Linked DNA regions of Rhinolophus ferrumequinum. The protein of the gene in region 1 purifies or fractionates together with the protein of each later gene. This does not show direct contact. Links are inferred from orthologs where the notes say so. Each region holds a gene or a part of one and is shown in the gene's direction. Other genes may lie near its edges.

Region 1 (8,052 bases):
AAGCAGCTATAGGTGATAAATGAGTAAGTATGAATGTGTGCCAATAAAACTTTATCAACACTGAAATTTGAACTTCATATTTTTATGAAGTGTCACAAACTATTCTCATTTTGACTTTTTCCCAACCATTTGAAAAATGTAAAAACCATTCTTAGCTCTTGGGCCGTACAAAATCAGGCGGCAGGCCAGATGTGGCCCCTGTCATAGTTTGCTGACTCCTGACTTACTGGATTTGAGATGCAAAGGAGGGGCTGCCGGTTAGCTCAGTTGGTTAGAGCGCTAGCTCAGTTGGTTAGAGCGCGGTTCTCTTAACAACAAGTTTGCCAGTTCGATCCCCACATCTAGGGGGCCACTGTGAGCTGCACCCTCCACAACTAGATTGAAACAACCACTTGACTTGGAGCTGATGGGTCTTGGAAAAACACACTTAAAAAAAAAAAATCTGAGATGCAAAGGAGTGAGACTCCAAAAATAACAAGTTTTGAGCTCGAGTCACTGAGAAAGTTAAATTATCAATGGCAGATCTTGGAAGTGAGGAAACAGTTTGTAGAAAAGAATAAGTTCAATTTTAGGCAACTCATTTGGTGTTTCTCACGAGCTCACGCAGATAACCTTCCCACTACCCCCTTCACAATAAACAAGTGGGATCAAAGAGTGTTCATCCATACATGAGTGGGATCAGAACAGTCACTGCTTGAGCTGCAGGTTTGAAAAGCATCAAATCATTTGTATAAAGTTGCTGGCTGATGCTAGGAGAGGAGAGATTTCTTGGGAGAATGCTTTAATAGAACAGCAGCAAGCCAGGGGCTTATCCTGGAGAAAGCTCATAATTTGGGGGGGAGTTGGTACAAGAGACAGGGTGTACAGATTGAAAGTAGATGCTTGGTCACCCCAATAAATTAAAAAAAAATAGTCACGGGGATGTGAAGTATAGCATAGGGAATATATAGTCAGTTATATTGTAATAACTACCATGGTGTCAGGTAGATACTAGACTTACCAGGATGATCACTCAGGAAGTTATGTAAATGTCTAATCACTATATCGTACATCTGAAACTAATACAATATTGTATGTCGACTGTAATTAAAATGTTTTTTAATTTAAAAAAAGTACATACTTGGTCTGGGGATAAATTAGTAGGCCCTGATGGAGCCAGGTCTTGTTGAAATAATAGCCCATTATTCTCATACTGTCCTTTTTCCTGACCCCTAATGGATTCATTCTCTTTAAGAACCAGTGGATACTTGAGCAAATTAAGTCTCATAACTTCTGAATCAACATTCTGTCTCTTGGAATATATTTCAAAGAACCTTTTACAGAGCTCCATCAGGTGACAGGTACAAGAGTTTGTTGCAGTATAATTTTTGGTGGTGGGGCCTGGAGGCAACCATTGTTCAACATTGGGAGTGCAGATCGGTAAAATGTGGATTCATATCATGGAGCACTAAGCAACAGCTAGAAGCAACAAAATGCATGTGATATAACAACATAAATGAACCCTTTAAAAAGATATGTATGGAGAAAGGAAAAAAAGCATTTTACATGTACTGAACATTATTCTGTAAATTAGAAATGTGCACATGAAACAATACTCAGTCTTCAAGTATTTCACAAAAAAACATACAGTCAATATATTAGAAGGATTATCTATGGTGAAGGAAAGGAATGGGAGATGTAGAAACATAATTTTAAAGAGTAAAACAGTTGAAATGATAAGGTAGGTATATCTGGGATGGACTACTGTGCAACCATTAAGAATCTTATAAAGTACAGTCAGTAATAAAGGAAGATGCTTACTATGTAACTGAATGAAAACACATATATTCATATATATATAATTTCAATTATGTAGAATATATATACAAAGAAAAACCTTAGAATGTTATCTCTAGGAGGTGGTATTGTGACTTTAATTCTTTATACATTCTGTATTTTCTAAATTGAGTTTATCATTTTTGTATAAGAGTGAATCAATTAAGGGTAAAGAGTTTTAAAGATGTGGACCTCCACAAGGGAGTGAAAAAAAAAAAAAGAAAAAGGACAATGCAATGCTGCACTGCTTGGATGTGGGGGAGCTGTCGTAAGGTTCTTTATAGATTCTGAGGCCCATCAGAAATAAGTGAGTGTCAGTCCAACTCCCATCTCCTCTTTCTCCCTTGTCCAGCTCCTAGAACAAGCCTTGGTGATTGAGGAACAGCTGCGCCGTGCAGCTTATCTGAACATGTCAGAGGACCCCTCTCACCCTTCCATGGCCCTAAACACCCGCTTTGCTGAGGTGGAGTGTTTAGCGGAGAGTCATCAGCACCTGTCCAAGGAGTCAATGGCAGGAAACAAACCTGCCAATGCGGTCCTGCACAAAGGTAGCCAGTGGCTCCCCTGCCTCCTGCTGACTCAGCATCCTTCCTCCTCTGCCCCTCCCCCAACACACATTTCTTGTTTCCATAATGTTTTTTCAGAGCCCCTTTGGGAGCTTAGGATGTGCTGAGGATCTGGTGCTTTCCTCCTTGGGAAGTGATTATCTTAGAGGCAATCAAGGACAGTAATTCGTTGCCTCTTTTAACTCTTAACATAGTCAAGTTGTTGGAGGTGGAAAGCAAAGCAGAATAATATAGTGTCATCTGGGATACTTTAGAGGTGACTTCAGGTGTCTTTAAGATCCAATCAAATTCAACATTTTGTTTCTGATTAAAGTTAAAACATTGTGTGGGGGGGTGGAGGGTGAAGTGAGGAAAAGAAGGCTGTTACTAAGGAGAGGGAGACAGCTCCAAAAGGTGAGGAAAGACAGTGAAAAAAATGAAACAACAAGAATAACTTCTCAAGAAGTTGAAGAAATAGAGACAGTGGGAGCAAAGGACAGGATTAGGTGACTTTAAAAAGCATAGAATCATGGACTGGCGGAACTGGAATAGGAATAGAAATTTGAGCATGGTGGAGGCCAGGTCAGATGACTTTGATAAAAGGCAATATTAAAACACTCCAGCACACCAATCAATCACTTAGTCATTGAGAAGTCATGGGGGGCAGATCCACTATGGCAAAAAGGATCTCTGTCTTGACCACCACAGCTCACCACCTCTTTTATTTCCCTGTGCAGTTCTGAAACAGCTAGAAGAACTGCTGAGTGACATGAAAGCAGATGTTACTCGACTCCCAGCTACTATTGCTCGCATTCCCCCAGTTGCTGTGAGGCTACAGATGTCAGAGCGTAATATTCTCAGCCGCCTGGCAAACCGAGCACCTGACCCTACTCCACAGCAGGTAGGACCATTTTCTGCTAGCCTGCTGTTCCAGCAGAGCCATTCTGGATCTTGTAACTTTTGCTCTCTGTCCCTAACTGGGCAGATGGGGCTGTCTTACTAGTGAGTCCCCTTGGGATCTGGTGGATTCCTGTGGTCTGGAATTCTGACTCCTGTGGCTCTCTCTATTCTATAGGTAGCCCAGCAGCAGTGAAGATCCAGACTGATGATAAACACCTCCACCGCTGAGCAGTGACCTTCCTCACTTTCCCTTGCCCAGCTTCTCCCCTGGCGGCCTGAGAGACCCTCTCCTTCCTTCTGCCCATCTTCCATGTTGTAAAGGGACAGCCCCCACTGTACTGGGGGAGGGAAGGGAGTGAGGGGCAGTGGTGCCCTTCCTGCTGGAGAGACAGTGCAGCAGTAGCGCCGGCGCCATCTGCAGGGAGCTGGCGGGCTGGCCGCCTTCTGGGCCCTGGCTTTCCCCACTGTAACATCTGTTACACACAAACTGTTGTGGGTTTCTGCCAGGCTTGAAGAAAACGATCTGAATTTCTTCTTCCTTTTTGTTTTATTTTGTTGGTTTATTTTGTGTTTTCTTTTCTCCTTTTTTGGGGTATTCAGAGTGGGCCGGGCCCCTGGGCGAGACACAGCTACCTCTGTTGGCATCTTTTTAATACCAGGAACCCAGCGGCTCCAGCCACGGCTAGAATGAAATAAAATGGGGGAAAAAAAGAAAAAAAAAAAAAAAAGACAAGAACCAAAATCATAAAGCCACAGCAAATTTCTTGATGAAAATTGAAAATAAAAGTTTCCTTGTATTTTAGTGCTCTGGTTCAGTGTGGGTGTAGGTGCAAGTGGATGAATGTGTATGACCGGAGCCCTGGGAAATGTGTAATTGAAAACGAAAGTTTTTCTTGTGTTCTGATAGTCCACAAAAGCCATTTCATTTCATGTCTGTGTGCATGTGCCCTGTGTGCTCTGGACCAAGGCAAGTGGCATCCTATGGAACATGAGAGGCTTCAAAACGACCTGGGTTCATACCCTGTACTACCATTTAATGGCTGTATGACCTTGAGGAAGTGAACTTTTCTGGGTTGGGAGTTCTGTATAAAATAAAGATACCTTCTTCATAGAGCTGGGAAGAGAAAACCAGTTTTTAAAGCTACTAAGCACTACCTTAGTCCTTATTTGAAGGAATGCTTAAGGTTCTTTTTCGTGTGTGAAGTTAGCATGTAATGTCCTCCGGGCCTCCAGATGTGAACCTAAGCAGAGGAATCTTACCTGAAGGGCTGAGCAGGGGTCTCGGGTTAAGGAAGAGGGTTTCCTAATCAAAGGGTCGGGAGAAGGAAAACGACCGGATTCCTTGATCTTGAGGTGGGGCAGAGGGTGCCAGGAGGAGCGCCCCGCTATTACCTCTTGGTTTGGGGCGGCGGGGGGTGGGGGGCGGCTTTCAGGTACCAGTTTTTCTGACTGAAATCTGCAGTGAGACAAAAAATCAAGGCCGGGAGGGCAGGGCGGGGAAGCCGAAAACGGTTCCGCCCCCATGCCTTCATCCTCGGCGAGTAAGAGGGGAGCAGTCCGCCGCCGAATTTCCACCCGCCGCACCGCGGACAGCCTCGCGCGCGTTCCCAGGGCGCTCCGACGTTCCGGTTTCTGCCGCCGACAGGAAGCGACCGGAAGAGGCGGGGCCACGAGGCGAGCGCGCTCTGCGCCTGCGTGAAACGTTTCCTAGGTGGGTGGCGTTGGAACGCTAGCTTCGGATTGCACGTGGAGTGCTGTACCTCGTACGGAAGGGGTGTCTCGGGCCTGGACCCGCTTTCGGGTGAGCGGAGGCTTCGGATCGCCCCGGAGGAAGGCGGGGAAGGGAGTACTGACCTGGGCTAGGGCATGATGATGGAGACAGTACAAATGGCGTGGGATTCGGGTCTCATCGTGAAGGGAGGTTTGGTCAGGCTTCCCGTGGCTGCTGGGGGTGCTGAGTCGAGATTCTGGTCGAGACGATGCCCTTTCTTACTCCAATACGCTAAGGCTACGGTCTTCCTTTCCCTTTCCAATACGCGCGACTCCACCTTCTCCCATTTTTCTTTTCCCACTCAGTACCATGGGGCGCAAGTTGGACCCGACGAAGAAGGAGAAGCGTGGGCCGGGCCGAAAGGCCCGGAAACAGAAGGGTGCCGAGACCGAACTCGCCAGATTCTTGCCTACAGGTAAGGGTCAGGTATGCTTCTGGATTCTCCAGCTTTTACGCGTTCTTTCATTTGTATTTATAACCCCCTCCTTTTTTTTTAGTTTCTGTGTTTACTTTCTGTTCAAGTGGAATTTCTTTGTATGAGTTATTAGGAAGAATGAATGAAACGCTCACTGTCATCAGCGTTTAGAACTTAAGGAAGATGCGACAAGGACACAAGTACCCATGCAAGGAGGGGTGCAGTTTAACATTGAAGAAGTTCAGAGGAAGGGCGGTTCCATGCAGCTAGAGAACTTAAAGATTTTAAGAATCAGGGTTGAAAAAAGGGTGACACTTGAACAAGTGGAAATTGGGAAAAGGACAGGCTAGTCACTGTGAGCTGCACTGTGGAGGGGATGGGGATGGGAAAGCACAGGCCTGCTTTCCACATAGTGAATAGTCTGTGTGGAAGATGCCGTGGTAGTTTGTGTTGCACATTAGATTACAGACGCAGTTTATTGAGGTATTAGCAAGTGCTAGGCACTATACTGAACCTTTGCACACATTGTATCACTTCATTCTCTTAATGCCCTGTGAGAGAGGCACTGTTAAGGAAATGGATACTGAGAGGTTAAGTAACTTGCATATAGTTAGTAAATGACAGTGCTGAGATTTAAACCTTTTGTTTCTTGGAGCGTGTATGAAAAACAGCAGTTGTAAAGGTAAAATTTGCTGTGGTTGGTAACCAATTAAATTGAGGAAAAAGGAAAGGAAGAAGAAGAAAAGATAACTTTTGAATGTGTTATCAGGATGATGTATTATTTATTGAAATCAGAAGTCGGGAGGGAGGCCCAGTTTGGATTTGGTTGGTGAGATGGTGAGATCATCTCCTTACTTTTCTTATTCAGCTCCTGGGAGAGCACTGTAGAGTGAGTTACAGTTGGCTCCCTTTCATTAGTGTACTAATTCTCTCCCCACTTTATTTCCTCTACCTTTGTTCTTTTTCATATGCACTGTAACCTCCTGTTCTGCCTCTTTTTTTTTTTTATTATAGCTGGTGATGAAAATTCTAAAAGACTGTCTAGTCGTGCTCGAAAGAGGTGAGTGTGGATGTCCAGTCTTACGTAGATTAAATTGGTACTGTACGTCTTCAGCCAGATGATCTCCTGTGATGGGAAATGGTAGAACCTGGAAGTATGTTGCATTTCTTCACTCCTATATCTTTTCAGGGCAGCTAAAAGGAGGTTGGGCTCTGCAGAAGCCCCTGAGACGAGTAGGTGTCCTAGTGCCAACCCATTGACTAGAAAGCTACCAAAAGGTCAGTGAAAATAGTTGCTGGGAGCTATATGAGGTGTCCTGTGGGTGCTGGGTAGGGAATGGTTTGCTGCGCATTCCTGGAGAGAGGAACAGCCAAAGGACATCGTTGGGGGTAGAAAGTACAGGCTCCATCAGTGTGTGGCTATCATCAGTCCAGGATTCTTCAAACCCTTAGGGGTCTCTGCAGGAGCTGTCCGGACACCTGGGAAGAAGGGAGCCCAGTCCTTATTTAACGCTGCTCAAGGCAAGAAGCGCCCGGCACCAGCTCATGGCAGTGATGAGGAAGAGGAGGAGTGTGAAGAAGATGGTGTGGTAAACCAGGGGGAGTTGTGGGGCTCAGAGGACAGTGATGCTGACATGAAGGATGACTATGGAGCTGATTCCAACTCAGAGGATGACGATGACCGTGAAAGTGAAGAGGTGAGAGTTCTCTCTGGGTGTTCAGGAAGGGAGCCTTGCCTTTTAGAGTCTTTCCCAATCCTTATCCCTCAGTGACAAGGATAAAGATAAGCCTGAGTACAGAAAAGGGATCTCAATGTGTCGTCACTGTTTTCCTATCACCTCTACGTCCTCTTGGTGCACATGCAAGTTTTAAAAAGTTGTAGTAAAGCATTTTAGATATGAGAATGCTCAGTGCTGGTGAGAGTATGTGGTAAAGTGGACACTTGTATATCCCACTGATGGGAACAGAAAGGCACACACGTTTTATAAAGCATTTGGTATCTGAGAACCTTAAAATGTTTTCCTTTTGACTTAGTTATTCCGTTAGGAAGATGATCCAAAATGTGGGCTGGTTTATTTAGGTGTAAGAAATTACTTATGTATTCCACAACTAGTTTTTGGGTGTGTTATTAGAAAAATTCAAGCAATACAGAGTTGTGAACAAAAAGAAAGTTCCCATTTGCAGTCCTTTCCCACAACACCCCTTCTCTCTGCAGAGTTCCTATTATGAGATGTTGAGGCACCCTGTGGACTATAATGCCAAAAACTGAAAAATTCTAAAGTACCCAATAGGCATAAGTAAATTATGGTTCATTCATATGCTAAATTAACATTTCGCCATTATGTCTGAAAATGCTTGCGATCTGTGAATGAGAAAAGGCAAGAAACAAATTTGAAAATGCATCATGATTCTAATGATGTGAAAAATATAGAGTAAATCTGGAAGAAAACATGGCAGAATGGATGCCCAAGAGCAATTTTTGTGCCCCCCACATACATATGTGTGTATGTACTCGTGTTTTAAACTTTTTAATGGAAAGGGAAATATAAAAGTAGAACAGTATAACGAACCCTTTCAATTCATCACTTAGTTTCAACAGTAGTCAA
Region 2 (7,681 bases), on another chromosome or scaffold:
CAACAGGAAACTTCCAGTGAGCTAGGGAGATGGGTAGAGGTAAGAGAGGAAGGGTGGTACGGCTTTAGGACAGGTTATTAGAGAGCAGTCTAAAGTTTATCATCTCTGCGTTCTTGGGTTTGACATTCCAGGTCATTCCATCTTAAAACTTCACTATTCAGCCTGTCCAGGGGCCATCAGGCATGAAGACCATCATCTTTCCTCCCTTCCTTCCTTCCTACCTTCCTTTCTTCCTTCTTTCCTTCCTTCCTACCTTCATTCCTTCCTTCATTCCTTCCTTCCTGCTTTCCTTCCTTCCTACCTTCATTCCTTCCTTCATTCCTTCCTTCTTTCCTTCCTTCTTACTTTCCTTCCTCCCCTCACCCTTTCTCTTTATTTCCTCAGGTCACCCAAGAATGATTTAAACTAGGGAGTCTATTTAACAATTTATCCGGAGAATTACAACTGGTGTCTTACTAATATTACCCTAGTTTGTTTGTATACTCCTTACTGTGGGGAAATAAAACAGACACTGAATTTTATCTTTCGGAAGCTATTTTTGCAGGTGGATCCTTTCATTTCTGATAATCTACATGCTCAGTGTTAATAAAGAGCTCCATTTCATACAGACTCACATAAGCAGGAACACACTTTCGGTGAAGATCAAGGGGGACCCCTGATCTCCCCATGACTTGTACACTCACAGAAACTTGAGAGTGATGCACCAGCCAGTAAGGGGACCTGGGCAGGGTACCAACAGCATTCACTACACTGGTGATTCTTAATTTAGTCAAGTCACTTCAGATATGCTCTATAGAGCCCCACCCAAAGTGCCAACCAAGCATTATGCTAAGTGATCGGTAAATAACAGACATTATCACAGGCATGGATAAGATCAAACATCCTCAGCCTCCGGTTATGAACACAAACAGCATCAACTAAACAAAACTTTTACACTATAATCCTAATCAACTCTGGGCTTCAGAGTCATAACCAAAACATGACTGTGGTTAGCTGCAACCAAAAAGACAAGGAACGCTGGCCTAGATGGTATTCCTCGGATGCTTTTCATTCTTGTGTGTCTATGGAAAGAAATGTTGCCTATATGTATAACTCATTACCAAAGACTGTTGCAGGGTTTCTTTCCACATTTGAGAAAAGGGCTGAGGAATTGCTAGGAGCCTTTCAAATTTGATCGGTTTTCTCATTTGCAAAATGAGGATGAAGTGCCGCCATCTTGTGGTTATTTCATGCAATTTCCTTTCCTGAAACTCTGCCCAGTACTGGCGTTTAAACACAATCATACTCAGTTTAAAGATGGGGATATGTTCTGAGAAATGCGTCATTAAGCAATTTTAGGCAATTTGATCATTGTGCAAACATCAGAGAGTGCACTTACACAAACTAGATGGTATAGCCTACGCTATCTGGTATACCACATCATATCATATATAAGGTTTGTCCTTATGTGGCACATGACTGTAGCACATTCCGTTTCTATAGGTCTCCATTAGCGTTGCCCATTGCTCAGAGTAAAAATTCTGAGTTAATTTACACCAAAATAACACAGTGAGCCATAGACGGGGCTAAATAAAAGAGGAATAGATGCTACCGTGTCTGTATGATCCTTCCCAATAGGTGAATAGTCCTATCTACCGAGAAAGAAAAGGCCCCAGGTGCCACATGGCTTTAAAGTTTGAGTCTGGAACAGGCCTGGGAAACCCACAGCTCCCCCTCAGCTCTGCTGCACGTGCAGGTCATTTTCTCAGCTGGAACTTTTTGGGAAATCTGTCTTGTACATCACCTCCAAACTAATCTCTAATCAACCAATGCTTGATGGAAAATAAGACTCTCATCAGACCCAAGTCACTCATCCTGGCCTTCATTCAAGGCTTCCTATGTTCTGCGTCTTACATGTTAGATCCTTCATGTTCTTTGTCCAACTACTGACCAGGATGAACCTTACACCTCTAGCAGGTTATTTCTGGTTTTTGCTTCCACTCTCCTTCCTCCATCAATCTTAATGACCTACACACTCTTCCATAAATACCTACCGTTGTTTCCCTGAAAATAAGACCTAGCCAGACAATCAGCTATAATACATCTTTTAGAGCAAAAATTAATTTAAGACCCAGTCTTATAGTAAAATAAGTCTTATAGTAAAATAAGACTGGGTCTTTAATATAACACTAATATAATATAAATATAAAACTCAGTCTTGTATTAATTTTTGCTCCAAAAGATACATTAGAGCTGATTGTCCGGCTAGGTCTTATTTTTGGGGAAACAGGGTAAAACCCCTTCTGGCCCTGAAGTCTTCCTCAGGAGCCCAGGCTCCCCCCAAAGTGTCTTCCAGTCAGCCTCCCATACTACTACATTTCAGCACTTGGTTATGTTCCGTCTCCCTGGATTACAAAATCTCTGAAGTCAGAGGTCAAGAGTTAGTATTACCATTGTCTTTATTATTTCCCTAGATCTCCGCATTGCTTACTCCCTTGCTTAAGATCTCTGCTCAAATGTCACCTCTTCACTGAGGACCTCTGTGAAACAATGCAAGATTCCTTAACACTTATCAATACCTGATACATGACATATTTACTTGATTTTCCATCTCCCCACAGAATGTACTCTCCATGATGGCAGTGACTTGTTGGTTTACTACTGTATCCCTACACCTAGAAAGATAACTGGCATGCAATAGGTATTTAAATTGGTGAACTGAGTAAAACAGCTGGCCTGCCCAAATGTGAGTGGGCATCATCCAATACTTTGAGTGCCAGAACAGAACAAAAGGTGAAGAAGGGAGGGCAGATTGGTTCTATCTCTGCTTGAGCTGAGACATCCATCTTCGCCCCTTGGACATCAGCCCTCCTGGTTCTTATGCTTAGACTCAGATGCTCATTTATCTAAAATATGACTTGGTTAGCTTTCAGCTCAGTGACTCCTCCGGCTTTTTGTATTTAATCCACAGAAATGTGTTTCATTATGTATATATACATATATATATGTATATACATGTATATATGTGTGTGTACATGTTTCTACATGCACATACTATGTGTATATTTATATACATATGTGTATGTGTATGTTTACCCGAGACAAAACTTTTACAAATCAATACCCTTACTCTATGTGACGTACTATTATTTCCTATTCTCATTCATCCTGTGTTTTTTTTTAATGCTGGCCAAGAATGTCTAAATTAATTCTGCAATCCCCTAAAGGACTCTGACTTCTTTGAAAACTCCTACCTTAGTAGATACGCACTGGTAACTCCGGGAATATTTAGGATTAAGTATAGAAATAATGAAGTAAATCAAAGGCATAGCATTAATATTCTCCATCACATTTTGGAACCACCTATTTTTTTTTTTAATTCAAGTTTATTGGGGTAATTGTTAGTAAAGTTATGTAGATTTCAGGTGTACAATTCTGTATGACAGTATCTATAAATCCCATTGTGTGTTCACCACCCAGAGTCAGTTCTCCTTCCATCACCATATATTTGAGGAGCCAACTATTTAATTTGGTATTTATAATGTTTAAGAGAATTTAACATTACAGATTATTTTTGCAATTCCATTTTTAAATGTGAAATGAACTGATTCAGACTCATAATTGTAAGTGGATATATATATAACAGAATTTAACCATGTTTGCAAGCAATATTGAGATTATGAGATTTTAAGATTTACCAACATATTTTTAAGTTTAATATGTTGGGTTTTAAGAGTGAGCTCAGTACTCGGATTTTTGTCAAGTAACTGACTTGCTTAAAAAGAAAGAATATATTACATTTGTAAGTGTACTTTAGTTATAGGAATTTAAGTTATAAAAATCCCCTTAAAGATTGTTTTAAATTTACCAGCATACATACTACTTTAGGATAACCAGGTTTCAATATTAATTATTAAAGCAAAGGTAATTTCGAAAGTCGCCTGCGTTTCCAAAAGCCACCCTCGTGCACAAGGCAGCAGCTCCAGTTCACTCGGAGAGAACCGGGTGTTCAGATTTAAGGGCCCTTCAACAGGATGAGCAACACATGGTCCCGGCAAAGGAGCTGGGTTCTATTCAAGAGGAAGGAGAAACTGACCTAGAAGACGTGGAATCGTCTTTCTTTTCTATTTTATCGCCTGCCACCATCATTTTTAAAAAATAATACATAACATACAACTTAAAAACACAAAATCAGCCACGAGGAGTGACTGCGTCAGCGCACCCCAGGTCCCGCTTCCGTCCCCCAAGAGGAGGAAAAGGCGCGCGGCCATGGGGCTCTGGGAGGGTTGTCCCCAAGTGGCGGGAAGAAAGGGGTTTTGGGGGATGCGGGGAGCCGGGGGGGTCTGGAGCCTGAGGTCACCGGCGCCGCGGAAAGCGGGCTCGGCAAGTTTATCTGGGAACGGAGGCCGCGACTAGCGCGGGGCCTCCAGACCGATGTCACCTTAGCCTTGCGGCCCGGAATTTATATCATGAAAAAAATTAGGGCCTGCACTATCATCCAGAAAAGCGTTTTTCCAAACCGTCCAGTCTTGCGGCCTGCAGGGCCCGGCCCCGGCCCGCGCGTCCGCGGCAACTGCGTCAGTTCGCGCCGCTGCTGAGGCCGGAAAAGGCCACCCTGCCCGCGCTCGCGCCACCTCCACTGCCATCCAAGCTAAGGCGATACCATCCCGCGGACCCCTCCGAACAGCCGGAAAGGTATCGTCCCCAGCCTCTGATTGGCCGGCGGCGCGGGGGCGTGGCCTCCGGAGCCTGGTTCTGCGCGCCAGAGCCCACTCGCCGCATTGCGAGCCGGGCCAGGAGCGGGCGCCATGGTGAGGAGTGGTTGTGGGGTGCGGGAGAGGAGAAGGCCGCGGTTTGGGCCTGGGTTCGGACCAGAGCCAGGGCCGGAGCCTGCCCTGGGAGCGGGGCCAGATGAACGCGGGGACCGCGCTGACGCTGACGCTGGCGCCCTGACTCCCGTTCCAGGTGCTGCTGCACGTGCTGTTCGAGCACGCGGTTGGCTACGCGCTGCTGGCGCTGAAGGAGGTGGAGGAGATCAGCCTGCTGCTGCCGCAGGTGGGTGGAAGCGGTGGGCTTGCGGGCCACACGGTCCCCAGCATGCACTGCGCGCTCCCACGTGGCCGGCCGCTCGCGTTGTGGGTGCGCTGAGCCTGAAAGCTCCAGAGCAGGGGTTCCTTACCTGCATTCGAGACTAGAATCGCGTTAGGACCATTTAGAAGTAAGCGTCCGGCCCTCCACTCAGTATCCAAGAAGAAGAACCGGGATTTAGGGCCAAATAATCGATCGGTTCATTCTTCAAGTGTTCAGTTGGTTCTTATATACGTCCAGGGCTGAGAACCGTTGCTTTACTGCGCCCTAGAGGCGACAGCGCGGGAAGGAACCTCCCATCCTTTTTCTACCCCCAGGTGGAGGAGTGCGTGCTCAACTTAGGCAAGTTCCACAACCTCGTTCGTCTCGTGGCCTTTAGTCCCTTTGCCTCGTCCCAGATTGCCTTGGAAAATGCCAACGCTGTGTCTGAAGGTGAGTCGGCCACCTCCAAGTATTGCAGAGATTTAAGCAGAGATATAGTTCCTCCTACTGTATAGTTCTTCTCCTAGGGAGTTGATGATAGTATTTGCCTTTATTCGGCTAATTTATTCTAAATCTGATTATGTTTTGGATGGTATTTGATGTGTACAGGATGTGATTTAAAATAGTCTTTCAGAGCTCCTGGTCTGAATGTTATATTTAAAGCACACAATCCAGCATGCAGTCTTACCCTGTGAACTCTAGTGATAAATGATTCTCAAATGCAATGGCGGGGGGGGGGGGGGGGGGGGGGGGGTGGTACTGGTTCAGTGCTAAACCTTTACAAGTGGTTCTCTACTATTTGGTTTAATTGATTGGAAAGAGCATTTTTCATACATGAAAGCCAAGAAAAAGGTTTGGTCCCAGAAGGCAAATCTGGAGCTAAATACTTTAGTAGTTGATGGTGCTCAGGGGTGTGCTTTGAGCTTTCAGTTATGCGTTTCACCTTGTACTATTGGACCTGAGTCCTGTTCTTCCCGTGACCCATTCACGCTTTGCAGTGATGACTTGAGTCTGTCAATCCCCTGAGTGCAATCACTGATGTCTCCATGTCTCTGAGCAAAGCCTGAAGGGGAGGGGTCTAGGCATGCCTTCCCAGCATGCTCTGCTGGACCAATGTAAGAACAGTCTGTCACTTAATCAGCAGTTGAGGACACGGGATCCCTTTTATGGTTTAAGCATCCTTCAATCTGTTAGTGGGAGCTCTGTTTTTTGCCCTGAGGTGTTGTTCATGAGGACCTCCGCCTGCTCTTGGAGACTCACTTGCCATCCAAAAAGAAGAAAGTACTCTTGGGGGTTGGGGACCCCAAGATTGGTGCTGCTATACAAGAAGAGTTAGGGTACAACTGCCAGACTGGAGGCGTGATAGCCGAAATCCTTCGAGGTGAGACAATTATCTGTTAACATTCATGCCATTCTTGACATCTTTGAGGGGGTTCCGGAAACATATTAGGGAGCTTAAAGTTGCTTCTGGTAAGTCCTCCTGCTTGGCTGGTGCGCATGGGTGCAGGAGCTAGCTCAGAGCCCTTCGTTGCTCATAGTCTTGCCCTCCTCCAGGAGTTCGTCTGCACTTCCACAACCTGGTGAAGGGGCTGACCGATCTGTCTGCTTGTAAAGCCCAGCTGGGGCTGGGACACAGCTATTCTCGTGCCAAAGTTAAGTTTAATGTGAACCGGGTGGACAATATGATTATCCAGTCCATTAGCCTCCTGGACCAGCTAGATAAGGACATCAACACCTTCTCCATGCGTGTCAGGTAAAGTACGGGGCAACCCTTGAGAACGGGGCTGTGGCCTGTGGTTTAGCTAGTTTTGAATCGTGAGATGAGGACTGGCTCCTATGGGTAGAACTGTGGGGTGGGGCTGGGCCTCCCGGTGCTTACCACAGGCTGTGTTTTTACACTGACTGTACAGAAAGAGGAGGCAGAATAAACCCACCTCATATACACCTCAGCCCAGGCCCTTTACCTGGTCTGTATTGTGAATGGGGAGACATGGAGTTGAGGAGGTTTGGGATCTGACTTGTTCCCACTTCCTCCCGGCAAAGAGTAGTTGTGAAAACAACTGAGGCTGTGGCTTTATTTATTTGAGACATGGCAGCTGGGTGAGGGAGAGATTGGGCTCTTTGCAGGGAGTGGTATGGATATCACTTTCCCGAGCTGGTGAAGATCATCAGTGACAACGCTACCTACTGCCGCGTTGCTCAGTTCATTGGGAACCGAAAAGAGTTGAATGAAGAAAAGTTGGAGAAGCTGGAAGAGCTGACGATGGATGGGGCCAAAGCTAAAGCTATTCTGGATGCCTCGCGGTCCTCCATGGGTCAGTACCAAAGCCTGGCGGCCAAAGTAAGATACAGGGCTCTGAATATCTGGCTCCTGCATTCACATTTGGTGTCCTTCAGGCATGGACATATCAGCCATCGACTTGATAAACATCGAGAGCTTCTCCAGTCGTGTGGTGTCTTTGTCAGAGTACCGCCAGAGCCTGCACACTTACCTGCGATCCAAGATGAGCCAAGTAGCCCCCAGCCTGTCGGCCCTAATTGGGGAAGCGGTGCGTCGTGGAGAATGAAAAAACGGGATTGAGCAATGTTACCATGTATATCTGTACTGCTGTATTTCCTGACCTGCCATGTC
Region 3 (6,156 bases), on another chromosome or scaffold:
CGTTTTAAGGGCCATTTTCTACTACTTTATCAAATTACTGGCACATTGAATTTCCTAGACAAAAATACTCAAAACAACTATGCTGAAAAAATGGTTGAATCATCCCTAACAACTTCCGCTACCAAAAATGAGCAACTGAGAAACGTTAGAAACTAAATCTAAGTTAATGCAGTATCAAAAGAATGAGAAATTGCTTACAAAAATGTTTTACTGACCAAAGTAGTTATGTTTTGTGGAAATGGGAAAGGTATTACCTTCGTATCTTTACCCTTCTTGTCCCTGGTTGAAGGGGGGATTTTGGGGGCAGGGGAATCTCCCTATAGGTTCACTTTTGTTAATGGAAACCTTCACAATAGTTACTACAAAAATATAATGATTGCTTCTTCTTTCCTGCACCTCATATTTGCCTTTTTTAAGGAATGTTTTTAAGGTTGCAGAAAGGCAGTTGATGGAAAATAGGAACGGGGAAGAAATATTTGGAAAATAAGCATAAAGAGCACTATATGCCATGTGAGTACAAAGAGTTGTTTGGGGCCGGATCATGAACATCCGAGACCAAGTACAATCACATTTTGTTAGGCAGAGAAGGCAGCTTTTGAGAAAAGTGACTTGGCCAGATCTGTAGAAGATAAATCTTCAGGACTGTCCTCTAGAGAGAATGGAGGCAGGAAACTGTTGGGATGCTGCTGGGTTAGCTCCCTGGGTATCAGTGAGGGTCCACGCAGGAAAACAGGTAGCAGTCAATCTGGGTAATTTAAGAAAGATCAACAAAGGGAATATTACAAAGATGTGGGCATAGTTTAAGGAAACTCAAAAAGAAGAGTGCTATAATAGCAAGAGCTGTGTCTATTCTAAGGCCTACAAGAACCAGGGAAGTAGTTACAGGAGGTAGAAGAGGGTGGAGAGTGCTGCCTGATTGGAATTATGGCCTTTTAGAGGAACGAGCCAGTCCACAGCAATCTGCAGAGGGCTGGGGGCACACAGCGCTTTACCTTACTCTCGTCACACTCTCAGATCTCCTGCTGGTGGCACCCATCTGGAAGCTAGGGGCAGAGAGCAGAGTGGAGAGGGAGGATCTAGAGAAGCCAATGAATAGACCCTGTCTAGAGGTAAGGTCCTGCTAGTGGGAACAGAAACGGTACAATATACACAAGGACAAATTTAACAGGACTTTCTACCTGGATGGACTGGGAGATGGAAAGAGAAAAGTCAAGAATGATGTCATAGTTTCAAGCCTAAGTTACTAGACTAGAATGACAATAACACCAACTGAGCCTATTGTTACTAACCATTGTATTTCCAATGTCCAGCACAGTATCTTGGGCATGAAAGGCCTTCTATGAACATTTTTTGGGGAAAAAGAAGTGAATGGATGTTATGTAGCCTTAAACATACTGAGTTTACAGTGGAAATACCCAGCAAGTGATTGGAGATTTCAGCCTAAAGCTCTGAAAAGGAAAGGGATAGAGATGTACCTCTAAGAACCACCTACACAATAAAGGCAGCTGACACCATGAGACGGGATGAAATGGCATAGACAGCAGGTATAAAGAGAAAACACGGAGGATCTGATGACCAAACTAGAGATCTGTCTGCATTATGAGACAAAAAGAAGAAGGGCAACCAACAAAGAGAAAAGGCAAAGGGAAAAGACAATATGTGCGACCTTTTGCTGTACTGTTAAAATAATTTCACGTATATTTGCACATCCCTCTTTTTCTTGACACTGCACAAACTTGCCTAACATAAAGATGATACAAATGCAAGCTAGAGACCTCCACTTACCTATTTGTCTCAGTAAGATTTTTTTTAAAGCATTAATTTCCAATTTTAATAGTTTTGTTTACCTTAAATCTAACATAGCCAACATCAATCCTTTTTTAATTTAGAAAAGTCTATTTAATAAGCTTATTTTTTCAAGCAATCATGTATTAAATACCTATTACGTATCCAGCACTATGCTCAGCAAAGTGAGTAAAAATCAGTCTCTAGTCATCAAGGAAATTGAATTCCACTTGGAATAAAAAAAAACCCTATTGAACATAAAACAAGTAGAGTCCAATTGAGAGCTGACCTGTATGATTCAAACCAAATAGCATTTCATCCAGTGAGAATTCATACCATTCAAGACCTGTTGACATCTGCGCTTTTTTTCCTAACTCAGAATATTGACAGAGGAGCTAAATCCTACATAGTTGCACTTCCTATTAAAAGCCCAATCATGCCATATGGTAAATTTCTCTTTACCTTTCTTTCTTCCCCACTGTTCCATAACGTCTCAATAATCTTTGCATCTAATGTCTGGAACATCGTAGTCATTCAAATGTTTGTTAAATGAATGAGTGAATCAGAAGCTAAGCCAGGTCCAGAGCAACTGTCAATGTCCTTAACTCCCTCCTACAGCAAATCCCCGAAGCTTTAAGGTTAACAGCAGTTACCTACTCTGGTCATTGACCCGGCCTTGGTTCAGGGGATGAGATATTACAGACTTGGCGCTGAGTGTTAAGGTAAAGGCTCAGAAAACCCTGGCAAATCTTAAAACCCTTTTAGAAAAGAGAAAGAAAGAAGATTCTAGCACAATGCCTGAAGCATAAAATGTGCTCATTAAATGGTTTATGAGTAAATGAACAAAGGAGATTGGAGGAAAGACAGTGAGTTCAAGAGGAGACCAAACTCGGGACAGGTATGACAGATGAGGCTGAATCTAAAGCCCTAAGAGGAACTCAACTGAATTTATTTCCTAATGGATATTATGTCCATATCTATAGGTTAATTCTCCAGCATAACTCCCTTTACTACGCCCAACCTCCCTTGAAAGGAAAATAAAACCTGTAAACCACACAACCAGCGCCAAGTCTGTAGTGCCTCCCAAATTTGATTATACATGCTCATCACCTAAAGATCTTACTAAAATGAAGGTTCTGAATTATTACATCTGGGGTGAGGCCAGAAATTGTGCCTTTCTAACAAACTCCCCGCCGGTGCTATAATGCTGATCCAGAGAGCACTTTTAAAGTATGGAGAGCCTGGAAGACATTACAGAGAATATGTATGTAGTCCTAAAGCCTTGAGTAAGCTACCTCCTGCTGCCAGATTTCCTAGTTGTATAACCTTAGACAAGTCATTTTACCTCTCTGAGCCTTCCTTTGTCATTAGAGGAATATGGTGAATAACAACAGCTAAGATTTATTGAGTGCTTACCGTGTACCGGAAACTTATGATAACAAGTTATCACAACTTAGGTTAAACAACCTGTCCAAGGTAGGTATAGTAAACCTAGATCTGATTCTAGGTAGTCTGACTCAAGAACCTGGTGTTTAATCACTGTTTAAGACTGCCTCTTTGGCTAAGCTCCCAGAGCCATTATGAAGATTAAATAATAGCTGGTATTTAGCTAACATTTATCGAGCACTTACATATTCCAGGCCCTGGTCTAAACTCCCTTGGGGGGCATATTAACCCATTTATCTCTGTAACAGCCCTGAGGAGGTTACAGGTTTTACATCAGGCCCAAACAAGTTAAAGGTGAAGGTCAAACACGGGCAGTCAGGATTGGAACCCAGGCAGTGGAACCACAGAGCCGGTTGCTCTTTTGCCACCGTCAGGAGAGGATGTGAGCCGGGCTCCGGGCTACCGGCGTTCAGCAAGCTGAGGGGGGCGGACACTCGCGCCCACTCAGGGCGGTCTGTAAGCCCGCTCACTCCCAAAGCAAACCAAGTCTTCTACACTTAGCTTCACCTGCATCTGTGCAAAGTGTCTTTCCTGGCCCAAACCCACGACCCCCATGAACGGGTCGGGGCTCCGGTGAAATCATTTGTCTCGTTCCAAGCCCACGACCCTGATGAGCGGGTCTGGTGAAATAATGTGTCTAGCTAAACATCTTGAGAACGCACTTTCACTGAAATCGTGACAGAGTCGCTCCGGAACCTCACAACATGTGGCCCCAGGAATTTGCGCCGCCCCACCTGCCAGCTCCGCCTCCATCTGGACTCGAGCCAAAAGCGCCACCAAGAATGCCATCTGCTCTCCAACACCGTCCTCTGCCGGCCTTTCCTGGAGTAGCCCGGATTGTGCACCAGTTCCGGTTGCTCCGGAAGTGAAGCTTTCTCTTCCGGGGCGAGCGTCTGGGTGGTCGCACGTGGTTGTGTTGCCTTAGTTTTAGCCGGCGCTGGTGGAGAAGTTATTTGAACTGGTTTCCTGGAGCGAGTGAGCCCAGCCGAAACTATGGAGGGCCAGAGTGTAGAGGAGCTGCTGGCAAAGGCGGAGCGGGACGAGGCAGAGAAGCTGCAGCGCATCACGGTGCACAAAGAGCTGGAGCTGGAGTTCGACCTGGGTAACCTGCTGGCTTTGGACCGGAACCCCCCCACTGGGCTGCGCGGGGGACCCTCGCCGGAGGCCGAACTGCGGGCCTTGGCGCGGGACAACACGCAGCTGCTCATCAACCAGCTGTGGCAGCTGCCCACGGAGCGCGTGGAGGAGGCGCTGGTGGCGCAGCTGCCGGAGCCCACCACTCGCCTGCCGCGCGAGAAGCCGGTGCCCCGGCCCCGGCCGCTTACACGATGGCAGCAGTTCGCGCGCCTAAAGGGCATCCGTCCCAAGAAGAAGACCAATCTGGTGTGGGACGAGGTGAGCGGCCAGTGGCGGCGGCGCTGGGGCTACCAGCGCGCCCGCGACGATACCAAGGAATGGCTGATCGAAGTGCCCGGCAGTGCGGACCCCTTGGAGGACCAGTTCGCCAAGCGGATTCAAGCTAAGAAGGAACGGGTAGCCAAGAACGAGCTGAACCGGCTGCGTAACTTAGCCCGCGCTCACAAAACACAGCTGCCCAGCGCGGCTGGCATGCACCCTACGGGACACCAGAGTACGAAAGAGCTGGGCCGCGCCTTGCAGGTAGCCAAGGTCTCCACCGCCTCAGTGGGGCGCTTCCAGGAGCGCCTGCCCAAGGAGAAGGCTCCCCGGGGCTCCGGCAAGAAGAGGAAGTTTCAGCCCCTCTTCGGGGACTTTGCAGCCGAGAAAAACAGCCAGTTGGAGATGCTGCGACTCATGAACAGCAAAAAGCCTCAGCTGGACGTGACGAGAGCCACCAATAAGCAGATGAGAGAGGATGAACAGGAGGAGGCGGCCAAGAGAAGGAAAATGAGCCAAAAGGGCAAGAGAAAGGGAGGCCGACAGGGTCCTGGAGGCAAGAGGAAAGGGGGTCCGCCCAGCCAAGGAGGGAAAAGAAAAGTGGGCTTGGGCGGCAAGATGAATTCCGGACCACCTCGCTTGGGTGGCAATAGGAAAGGAGGGCTACACCAAGGAGGAAAGAGGAGGAAGTAAATTTCACCCTCGGACCTGCCTGTAAACCAAGAACTACACTAAATGTTAACTTCTAGGACCTGTAGGAAGATGCAGAATAAGGGGGCTGCCTTCATTGAGCTTGAGGTTGAAGGGATAGGATTGCCCTCCCCTCAAGATAGTCTATGTAAATGTTGGACTCTACAAATTAATGTTTTTCCCACAACCAATACTTTGGCTGGAGATGTAAAGGATGTAGTTGACGACTTAAAAATTAGAGAAAGAATTTGGTAGAAACTAGGAATAAATTCTATTTTTTAACTTTGTGTATGGTGTGAGGGTCATATTTCAGAGACTTAGATTGATTTCTGTATTATTTTTCTAACAAGCTTGTGTATTTATCAAAGCAGGTGTGTCTGGGAGGGGTCGAGCACACAGAAAGATTACATTTTCAAAACTGGCCTTACAAGTAACTTGTTATTTAATAAAAGTGTATCTGTATCTAATGTTGCTTTTAACTCTTGACTATTGGTAGAAATCTTAAGTAAAGCCAGTGATTTGAATGCCTGGTACAGATTATTTTCATTTACTGTCTAAAAAACACAAAACAGCTAAATTATGATTTCAGTGAGATCACTTAGTTTAGAAAAATTTATGCTTCTTTTGGTATCAAATATTGAAAGTGTAACTGGTGTGTCTGAAAAAAAGAGTCATGCTTTTCAACACTGATTTGCTATAAATGATAAAGTTTAATAACGGGGTAATGATCCTCATTAATCCAGAAAATACTTAAATCTTTGTCAACATTTATGTCCCTGAATTTGTAAAGGTTCAAATAGGGTCTGTTTTGGGGAAGAGAAAACCCACAAAATCCATACT
Region 4 (7,071 bases), on another chromosome or scaffold:
GTGGACTCGCCGTCCCGCAGGGCATACATGCCAGCTTCGGTACACACACCCTGAGCAGGGAAAGGAAGACAGAGGTGTTGCTGTGCCCTTGAACCCAGAGCCTCCTACCTCTGCCCCCTTTCCCTTGGGCTCTCCAATTACCTTCACTTCAGCCCCTGATGCCCCTGGCATGAGCTCAGCGATTTTTCTCAGGTTGATCCCACGGGTCAGGTTCATTTTTCGAGAATGGATCTTCAAATGTCCAACCGAGCCTAGAGATGGGAGAGGAAAAGACCTGAGTGAGCCCCACCACCTACCCACAGCCAGAGCCACTCCCAGCACTGCCCATCACGAACCTCCTCATTAGGGGGTGGAAATTCAATTTTTCTGTCGATGCGCCCTGGGCGAAGCAAAGCCGAGTCTAGGATATCAATCCTATTAGTAGCCATGATAACCTGAGTACAGAAAGGGTGTGGCATCAGCTAAGTCCTTCCTCAGGCCTCTCCTCACTTCACCCAGGGCCTTCCCTGGCTCATCCCATGGCCGACAGCACCTTACCTTGATATTCTTGGTGGCCTCAAAGCCATCCAGCTGGTTGAGCAGCTCCAGCATTGTGCGCTGCACTTCACTGTCCCCTCCAGAACCCCCCTCCAGCCGTGAGGAGCCAATGGAGTCAATTTCGTCCATGAAGATGATAGACGGAGCGTGTTCTCGTGCCATGACAAACAGCTCCCTCACCATTCTTGCCCCTGGGTCGAGGGCAAGCTGGCGTTACGGAGCTGATGAGCTTCCTACCCTAACCTCCACCCCCTCACTTCCACTTGCTTTGCATGTTTCTAGCCACAATTACCTTCCCCAATGAATTTCTGTACCAATTCAGAGCCAGAGACACGAATAAAGGTGCAGTCTGTATGATGAGCCACAGCCCGGGCCAACAGTGTCTTCCCAGTACCTGGGGGTCCATATAGAAGCACTCCCTGGAGAGAGACAGCAGGACTCAGGGCAGAAAGCCAACCCCACATTTCATCCCCAACATTTACTGAGTGCTTGCTCTGCTAGACCACACCAGACGCTCAGGGATACAGACAATGAACACCAAGGTCCCTTCTGCAGCTTGTATCCCAACGGCCTCAGCACCCGGCAGCACCTCTGTCCCAGGCCCTCTTCAGCTCCCCTGCACCTCCCGGACCCGTTTGGCCTGTGGTGTACACAACAGCGTGGTCCCCCCACAGAAGCCCTGCTCCTCACCTTAGGCTGCGCAATGCCCAGCGCTTCAAAGAGCTCAGGATGCTTAACAGGCAGCTCGATGACTTCTTTGATCTCTTTGATCTGCTTGTCCAGTCCGCCAATCATCTCGTAAGTGGAATCTGGCACCTTCTCCACCATCATCAGGGACACCAGTGGGTCCACCTTGTTGGGCAGGATCTTGTGCAGAGTGTAGCTGTCATTTCTTAGAGCCACCCGGCAATTGGGTGTCACCTGGGCGAGGGGAGAGCATTTCAGGATCTGGTGTGGGGACAGCTGACCCCAAGGTCCCCACCTCACCTGCTGTACTCACATCATTGATGTCAATGTTCTTGTCCACGTCCACGACAAACTTGCCCTCAGGATGTACCTAAAGAAACAAGTGCTGAAGCCCTTCCCTGATAGCCACCAAGTCACCAACCTCACCCAGGGAGATCCACAAGTCCTAGAATAACGTGGCAGAACAGCGTCCTCACAAGGCTACACACAAAGGTCTGGGAATGCAGCGGGTGGTCCCTGGGGTCATGCTGCCTTTACCTTAACTAACACTTTCTTCTTATCCATGGCCCGGACCACTTCCCCTACATAGGAGCCCTGCTCCTGTAGCAGCTGTAGCTCTTCCCGCAGCAGACGAACTAGATGGGAAACACATAGTGGTCACTCAGCTTCTTTGGTGTCCCCTCCTCCACCATTCAATTCAATATGCATGAACTAAGCACCATTTTGAAGTTCTGAAGGGAAGGCCACAAAAAGTCAAAATTCATGTCTTCAAGGTGGTTACAATGGGGCTCGGGAGAGAGCTCTGCACGTGAACTTTGTAACAGTGCAAAGCATCACCTTGGACTGGGGGAAAAAAACGCCAGTGTGAAGACTGTTCAGCGAGATTTGAACAGTCAGACCTCAGACCAACTGCCCACATGCAGCCTTCCCATCTTTCTCTCCTCACCTTTTGCATTAAGCTCATTCCTTTGTGCCTGCAGCCTCCGGAGATTTTGGCTCTTATCATTCACAATCAGCTATGGAGGACAAGAAACAAAGGGCAGAAAACAGGTTAAGATCTTAGCCAAGACCTTCAGAGGCTGGTATGAGCTGAGTGAGGAAAGAGCACAGGGCACCTGCATGTTGTTTCAGATTCTCCCATATGATTCTAACGACCCTGGCCTGCCCTCCAAGAGACCCTCTGGAGCCTAGGGCAGCCATCAAAAAATGCTGCTTGTCTAACACTGGTCCAGGAATAACAAACCCTATTGGAAAAAAGTTACACCTGGCTCATGTAGTCAATTTCTTGCAGGACAACATATCAACATGCTAGAGTGGGAAGATCTCTTGAGTCAGAAGCCTAAGTTCTAGTCCTCCTGCTGCCAATAAACAGCTAGAGAAAGCTAAGGAAAGCCATTTAAAAGGTCTAGTTCTGTTAACAAACTGCAAGTGGGCATAGCATCACCCACCTTGCTTCTTTTTAGGACTGTTGTGAGAAACAAATGAAATCACATGTAAATAAATTTCAAAAATGATAAATCAACTATAATACCTATAAATGTACCTGGAATTCAAAAATATTCCCTGTGGCATTCCTCCATCCAATTTATATCATTTTCCTTACTTCTATGGTCCCCGTTCCCTCTTCAGGGAGCAGTGGGTCACCCAATTCCTTTTCATTCAGTCCCATGAAATCAGTCAGCGTTGTCCAGACTCCTCAATTCTGTCTTCTGTTACACTCTCACTCTGTCCCAACCCCTCTCTGATAAATCTCATCTGAGCCCCTATCTTCCCTTTTATTGGATACCCTCTCAATCAGGCTTCTTCCAAAAGAAATGGCCCTTGGCTAGGGGTACCTTTTCTGCTTGACTCTTGAAGGGGTAACAAACTATTACTTCTTCCACTGCGCCTCCCAGTGGAATTATATGGATTTGTAAAAATCTCCATCAATTCTTCATCCCCGCTTCTAGTTCTCTCTGGACTTCTGGAGTCCGTCCTTACCTGCAGTTCTTCAATCTTGGACAGATAATATTGGCGGAGTCCACTTCCTGCCTTCCCCTCTTCCAGCTCCATCTGAAGACACAGTGTAATTATTAAACAACAGGCTAGCCCTCCAAAGAATAAAACCACCTCCAGTTTGGACCTTGGAGGTTTAAGATCTGGGTTCCAAACCCTCACTCCAATTGTTCAGAACCCTTCACTTCCTCATGACTAAACTAAAAGCAGACTGAGAATGCCGCCTACTTCATGAGACTTGCAGGAGGATCAAGAGACGATATACACAGAAGCGCTTTGTACCGAGTTAAGCGCATAACAGACCCGAGGTGTTATTACTAGAGGCGGAGCCAGTAGGAAGGACGGGTGCCCCGTCCCCTACGACTCGCTGATGGACCCGTTCCCGCTCCCATTGCTCCTCACTCCGCTTTCACTGTGTCATCCTCTCTTGGCCCTGCCCCGACCCGCCGGGCGGCGCTGACACAGCAGATCCGGTCCCAAGCAGGACCCAATCTAGACTGGTCCATCCAACCCCGACCCACCCGACCCTCTTTCCCCGGCCGGCGGCCCACCTCGGATCACGCCTGCTCCGCATCCAGCCCCGGTGCCCGCCCGGCCGCCGCCGCCGCCATACCTGCTCTGGCCCGTCAAGCGCCATCTTTCCCCTGTCGCGGAGAACGCCGGCATTCGGCCGCCTTGGCGCGCAGGCGCAGAAGCAGGGCCTTGGAGGCCGAAGACCGCGGCAGAGAAGAGTTCCGGGTCAATGGGCGGGGTGTGCGAGAGACGCTAACAAATAACAGGGGCCATGATAGGAGGGGTCTACGCGAGGTCGGGAGCTTTCGAAGGGGCTGACGAGAGCACAGAACTCCTAAGAGTTGCTCTCTAGAAACTCTGTTTTAATCCAAGTAATATGCTCCCTTGGTCCCACCTTCCAACTTATAAAAGCCGGCGACAGAATATATAGATAGCTTTTTTTAGTGTGTGTGTGGCCACACCCCAAATGGCGGAAAACGGGGCCCCGGCGCAAGCGGAAGCGGAAGTACGTTTGGTGCCTCCATGTGCCGTCCAAGAGTGGTGGAAGCGGCGTTGGCTGGTGTTGAGTGGTGTGGTTAGCTACAGGGCAGAGTGTGATTGCCTCGGTAAGTGGGGAACGGACACCGGAATCTAGTGCTTAGGGAAGAGACGTTCCAATTCTCCTTTCTCCCTAGGTTGAGTGACACTCCCCCGTTCCACCATGGGCAAGAAGGGTAAAGTCGGGAAGAGCCGGCGGGACAAGTTCTATCACTTGGCAAAGGAAACTGGTGAGTCTGGGTTCGCGCCTTCCGCGAGCTAGCGAACGAGCGACCTTGTTGAGTTCGTCCCCCTTTCCAAACATGAGTTTCTCTTCCGCAGAAAGGGTGGTGGGTGGTGAGTCTGCAGAAATCCCGCTGGGAAAGCACTCCGCGGACTTGTATTTTGTCGCCCCCAGGTTATCGTTCCCGCTCTGCCTTCAAGCTGATTCAGCTGAATCGCCGCTTTCAGTTCTTGCAAAAAGCCAGAGCCTTGCTGGATCTGTGTGCTGCGCCAGGAGGATGGTGCGTAACAACCAGCACCTGTCACCTCTGACAGCCAGCTTTCTAGGTTCCAGCCTCGGGTGACTGAAAGTTGCATTGGGGGAGGGAGTAATAACAATAATACCAGCCTCGATTTCTCTACTCCTCAGAACATACACTGCAGAGAAAAAGTTTGGAAGTGTACATAGGACATGCTCTGGCCACTGCGCTTGGCCCGGCTCCTAACACTGGGGGTGACAGATCACATTGCCACAGGTAGAGGGACAGTCCTAGGTATTTTAATCTTTATTCGTGTTTTATAGGTTGCAGGTGGCTGCCAAGTTTATGCCTGTGTCCAGCCTTATTGTGGGTGAGTGACAGGTGGCTCTCCCAGGTGTTTTAGGGGTGGGAGTATGAGGTATTGTGTTCTACATTTCCTTTCTCCCTGCTTGAGGCAACATTTTGGAATACTTGGACCTGATTTCTTTCAGGGGTGGACCTGGTTCCTATCAAGCCTCTTCCCAATGTGGTGACACTCCAGGAGGATATCACGACAGAACACTGTAGGCAGGTGGGGGAAATCTCTTTCTTCCTGTCCCCTTTATATGTAAACATCCAGTTCTGTGCCACTTCCCACCCAAATCTTCTGAAGGCAAGATTTTTCCTGTTTACCATGGTTTGAGCAGTGCCTGAATGATGTCTGTAAGCCGGGATATGCCTCATGTCTGTTCTACCTTTTATTTGGTCAGGAACGAGGTATTTGAAATTAGAAGAAGTGCAGAGATTTTAATGAAATCCTTTCCAGTGGACTTACTAGTAGACCATAAGCTCCATGAAGACGTAGACATATCATTTTTGTCATCATATCCCTTGTACTTGGTGCACTATTTGGCCCATGGTGGGCACTCAACAAATGACGGGGTGGACAAATGGCTGAATCGGGGACTCCATTTGTAGCCATTCCTGTGTTTCTATTGCCATAATCTCTTTCCCTCTCTATAGGCTTTAAGGAAGGAGCTGAAGACCTGGAAAGTTGATGTTGTGCTCAATGATGGGGCCCCCAACGTCGGGGCTAGCTGGGTCCATGATGCTTACTCACAAGGTGCCAGGAGTCGGGCATGGAGGTGAGGGTAGAGGTGGGCATGTCCTCTCAGGCTGCAGAGGTCTTCAGCTAACCATTTCTCTCCCACAGCCCATTTGACACTGATGGCTCTTCGTTTGGCTTGTGATTTTCTGGCCCGAGGTGGCTGCTTCATCACAAAGGTTTTCCGTTCCCGTGACTATCAGCCCCTACTATGGATCTTCCAGCAGCTGTTCCGCCGTGTCCAGGCCACTAAGCCCCAAGCCTCTCGCCACGAGTCTGCAGAGATCTTTGTAGTCTGCCAGGGTGAGCATCACTTCTTTCTCTCTTGACTCAGTTTCCCAACTCCCAAAGCACACTTTCTGATGTATCTTATCATCTTAGGATTCCTGGCTCCTGACAAGGTTGACAATAAATTCTTTGACCCCAAATTTGCCTTCAAGGAGGTTGAAGTCCAGGCCAAGACTGTCACTGAGTTGGTGACTAAGAAGAAACCAAAGGTGCATTTGGGGAATGTGGCCACCCTCAGTTCCTAGAACTCGGGAGATTGGGTCTGGAGGGTCCTGACAGACACCCCAGAAGGGACTGCTCAACCTTCTTTATTTCCCTCCCTAAGGCTGAAGGCTATGCTGAGGGTGACCTCACTCTCTATCACCGTACCTCAGTCACTGACTTCCTCCGAGCTGCCAACCCTGTTGATTTCCTCTCCAAAGCCAGTGAAGTGAGTCCCCAGACTTGAGGTATAAGGGAACCCCTGAGACATGGCCTAAAAATTTCCTTTGACTTTTACTGCTCCTCCCAAACAGATCTCGCTAGATGATGAAGAATTGGCACATCATCCAGCTACCACTGAGGACATACGGGTGTGCTGTCAGGATATCAAAGTGCTGGGGCGCAAGGAGCTTAGGTATGCAGTGGGGTGGGGGTGGGTGTAGGTGCCAGGAGCCCCAAAGGCAGGGAAAGGCCTGTGAAGGCCATGACATTGGATCTCTGGGAATAGGATGCTGTGTGCTGGGCTAGAGGTTTGGGGTGGGGTCCTGAGCCTAGGGCTTACATGACTCAAACATGAAATTTGGGGTGTAGGCCTAAAACAGGAGGGGCAGAAACACAAAGGGAGACAGTAAGGTCAGTAATGGTATTTCTGGGCAGGTCCCTGCTGAACTGGAGGACGAAGCTTCGGCGGTTTGTGGCCAAGAGGCTGAAAGAGCAAGCAAAGGCACTGGACATCAGGTGAGGAGGGGACTAACGCAGGGTAAGGGT

What was found.
Region 2: the proteins of NOP2 (region 1) and NOP56 fractionate together in Homo sapiens (co-fractionation; 3 studies listed by BioGRID and IntAct, with this or other methods). This does not show direct contact. The link is inferred for Rhinolophus ferrumequinum from reciprocal best matches to the Homo sapiens genes NOP2 and NOP56.
Region 3: the proteins of NOP2 (region 1) and RRS1 fractionate together in Homo sapiens (co-fractionation; 3 studies listed by BioGRID and IntAct, with this or other methods). This does not show direct contact. The link is inferred for Rhinolophus ferrumequinum from reciprocal best matches to the Homo sapiens genes NOP2 and RRS1.
Region 4: the proteins of NOP2 (region 1) and FTSJ3 fractionate together in Homo sapiens (co-fractionation; 3 studies listed by BioGRID and IntAct, with this or other methods). This does not show direct contact. The link is inferred for Rhinolophus ferrumequinum from reciprocal best matches to the Homo sapiens genes NOP2 and FTSJ3.

What each region holds. Positions count from the first base shown.
Region 1 is NC_046293.1:23,811,183-23,819,234, reverse strand, and holds the start of NOP2 (probable 28S rRNA (cytosine(4447)-C(5))-methyltransferase), read left to right. Parts: upstream 1-4,918; 5' UTR 4,919-5,061; intron 5,062-5,336; 5' UTR 5,337-5,340; coding exon 5,341-5,446; intron 5,447-6,460; coding exon 6,461-6,506; intron 6,507-6,635; coding exon 6,636-6,724; intron 6,725-6,898; coding exon 6,899-7,143; intron 7,144-8,052. Other genes in the region: CHD4 (chromodomain-helicase-DNA-binding protein 4), read left to right, coding at 2,168-2,363, 3,098-3,261, 3,436-3,453. UniProt on the Homo sapiens protein: S-adenosyl-L-methionine-dependent methyltransferase that specifically methylates the C(5) position of cytosine 4447 in 28S rRNA. Required for efficient rRNA processing and 60S ribosomal subunit biogenesis.
Region 2 is NC_046306.1:24,887,381-24,895,061, forward strand, and holds the start of NOP56 (nucleolar protein 56), read left to right. Parts: upstream 1-4,679; 5' UTR 4,680-4,787; coding exon 4,788-4,790; intron 4,791-4,944; coding exon 4,945-5,034; intron 5,035-5,384; coding exon 5,385-5,499; intron 5,500-6,041; exon of another isoform or gene 6,042-6,109; intron 6,110-6,268; coding exon 6,269-6,430; intron 6,431-6,603; coding exon 6,604-6,802; intron 6,803-6,911; exon of another isoform or gene 6,912-7,043; intron 7,044-7,176; coding exon 7,177-7,364; intron 7,365-7,446; coding exon 7,447-7,598; intron 7,599-7,681. UniProt on the Homo sapiens protein: Involved in the early to middle stages of 60S ribosomal subunit biogenesis. Required for the biogenesis of box C/D snoRNAs such U3, U8 and U14 snoRNAs. Part of the small subunit (SSU) processome, first precursor of the small eukaryotic ribosomal subunit.
Region 3 is NC_046297.1:13,945,478-13,951,633, reverse strand, and holds RRS1 (ribosome biogenesis regulatory protein homolog), read left to right. Parts: upstream 1-4,118; 5' UTR 4,119-4,224; coding exon 4,225-5,319; 3' UTR 5,320-5,603; downstream 5,604-6,156. UniProt on the Homo sapiens protein: Involved in ribosomal large subunit assembly. May regulate the localization of the 5S RNP/5S ribonucleoprotein particle to the nucleolus.
Region 4 is NC_046304.1:42,404,478-42,411,548, reverse strand, and holds the start of FTSJ3 (pre-rRNA 2'-O-ribose RNA methyltransferase FTSJ3), read left to right. Parts: upstream 1-3,981; 5' UTR 3,982-4,103; intron 4,104-4,185; exon of another isoform or gene 4,186-4,337; intron 4,338-4,406; 5' UTR 4,407-4,432; coding exon 4,433-4,499; intron 4,500-4,666; coding exon 4,667-4,772; intron 4,773-5,053; coding exon 5,054-5,100; intron 5,101-5,221; coding exon 5,222-5,301; intron 5,302-5,732; coding exon 5,733-5,832; intron 5,833-5,922; coding exon 5,923-6,117; intron 6,118-6,195; coding exon 6,196-6,311; intron 6,312-6,427; coding exon 6,428-6,532; intron 6,533-6,617; coding exon 6,618-6,718; intron 6,719-6,960; coding exon 6,961-7,041; intron 7,042-7,071.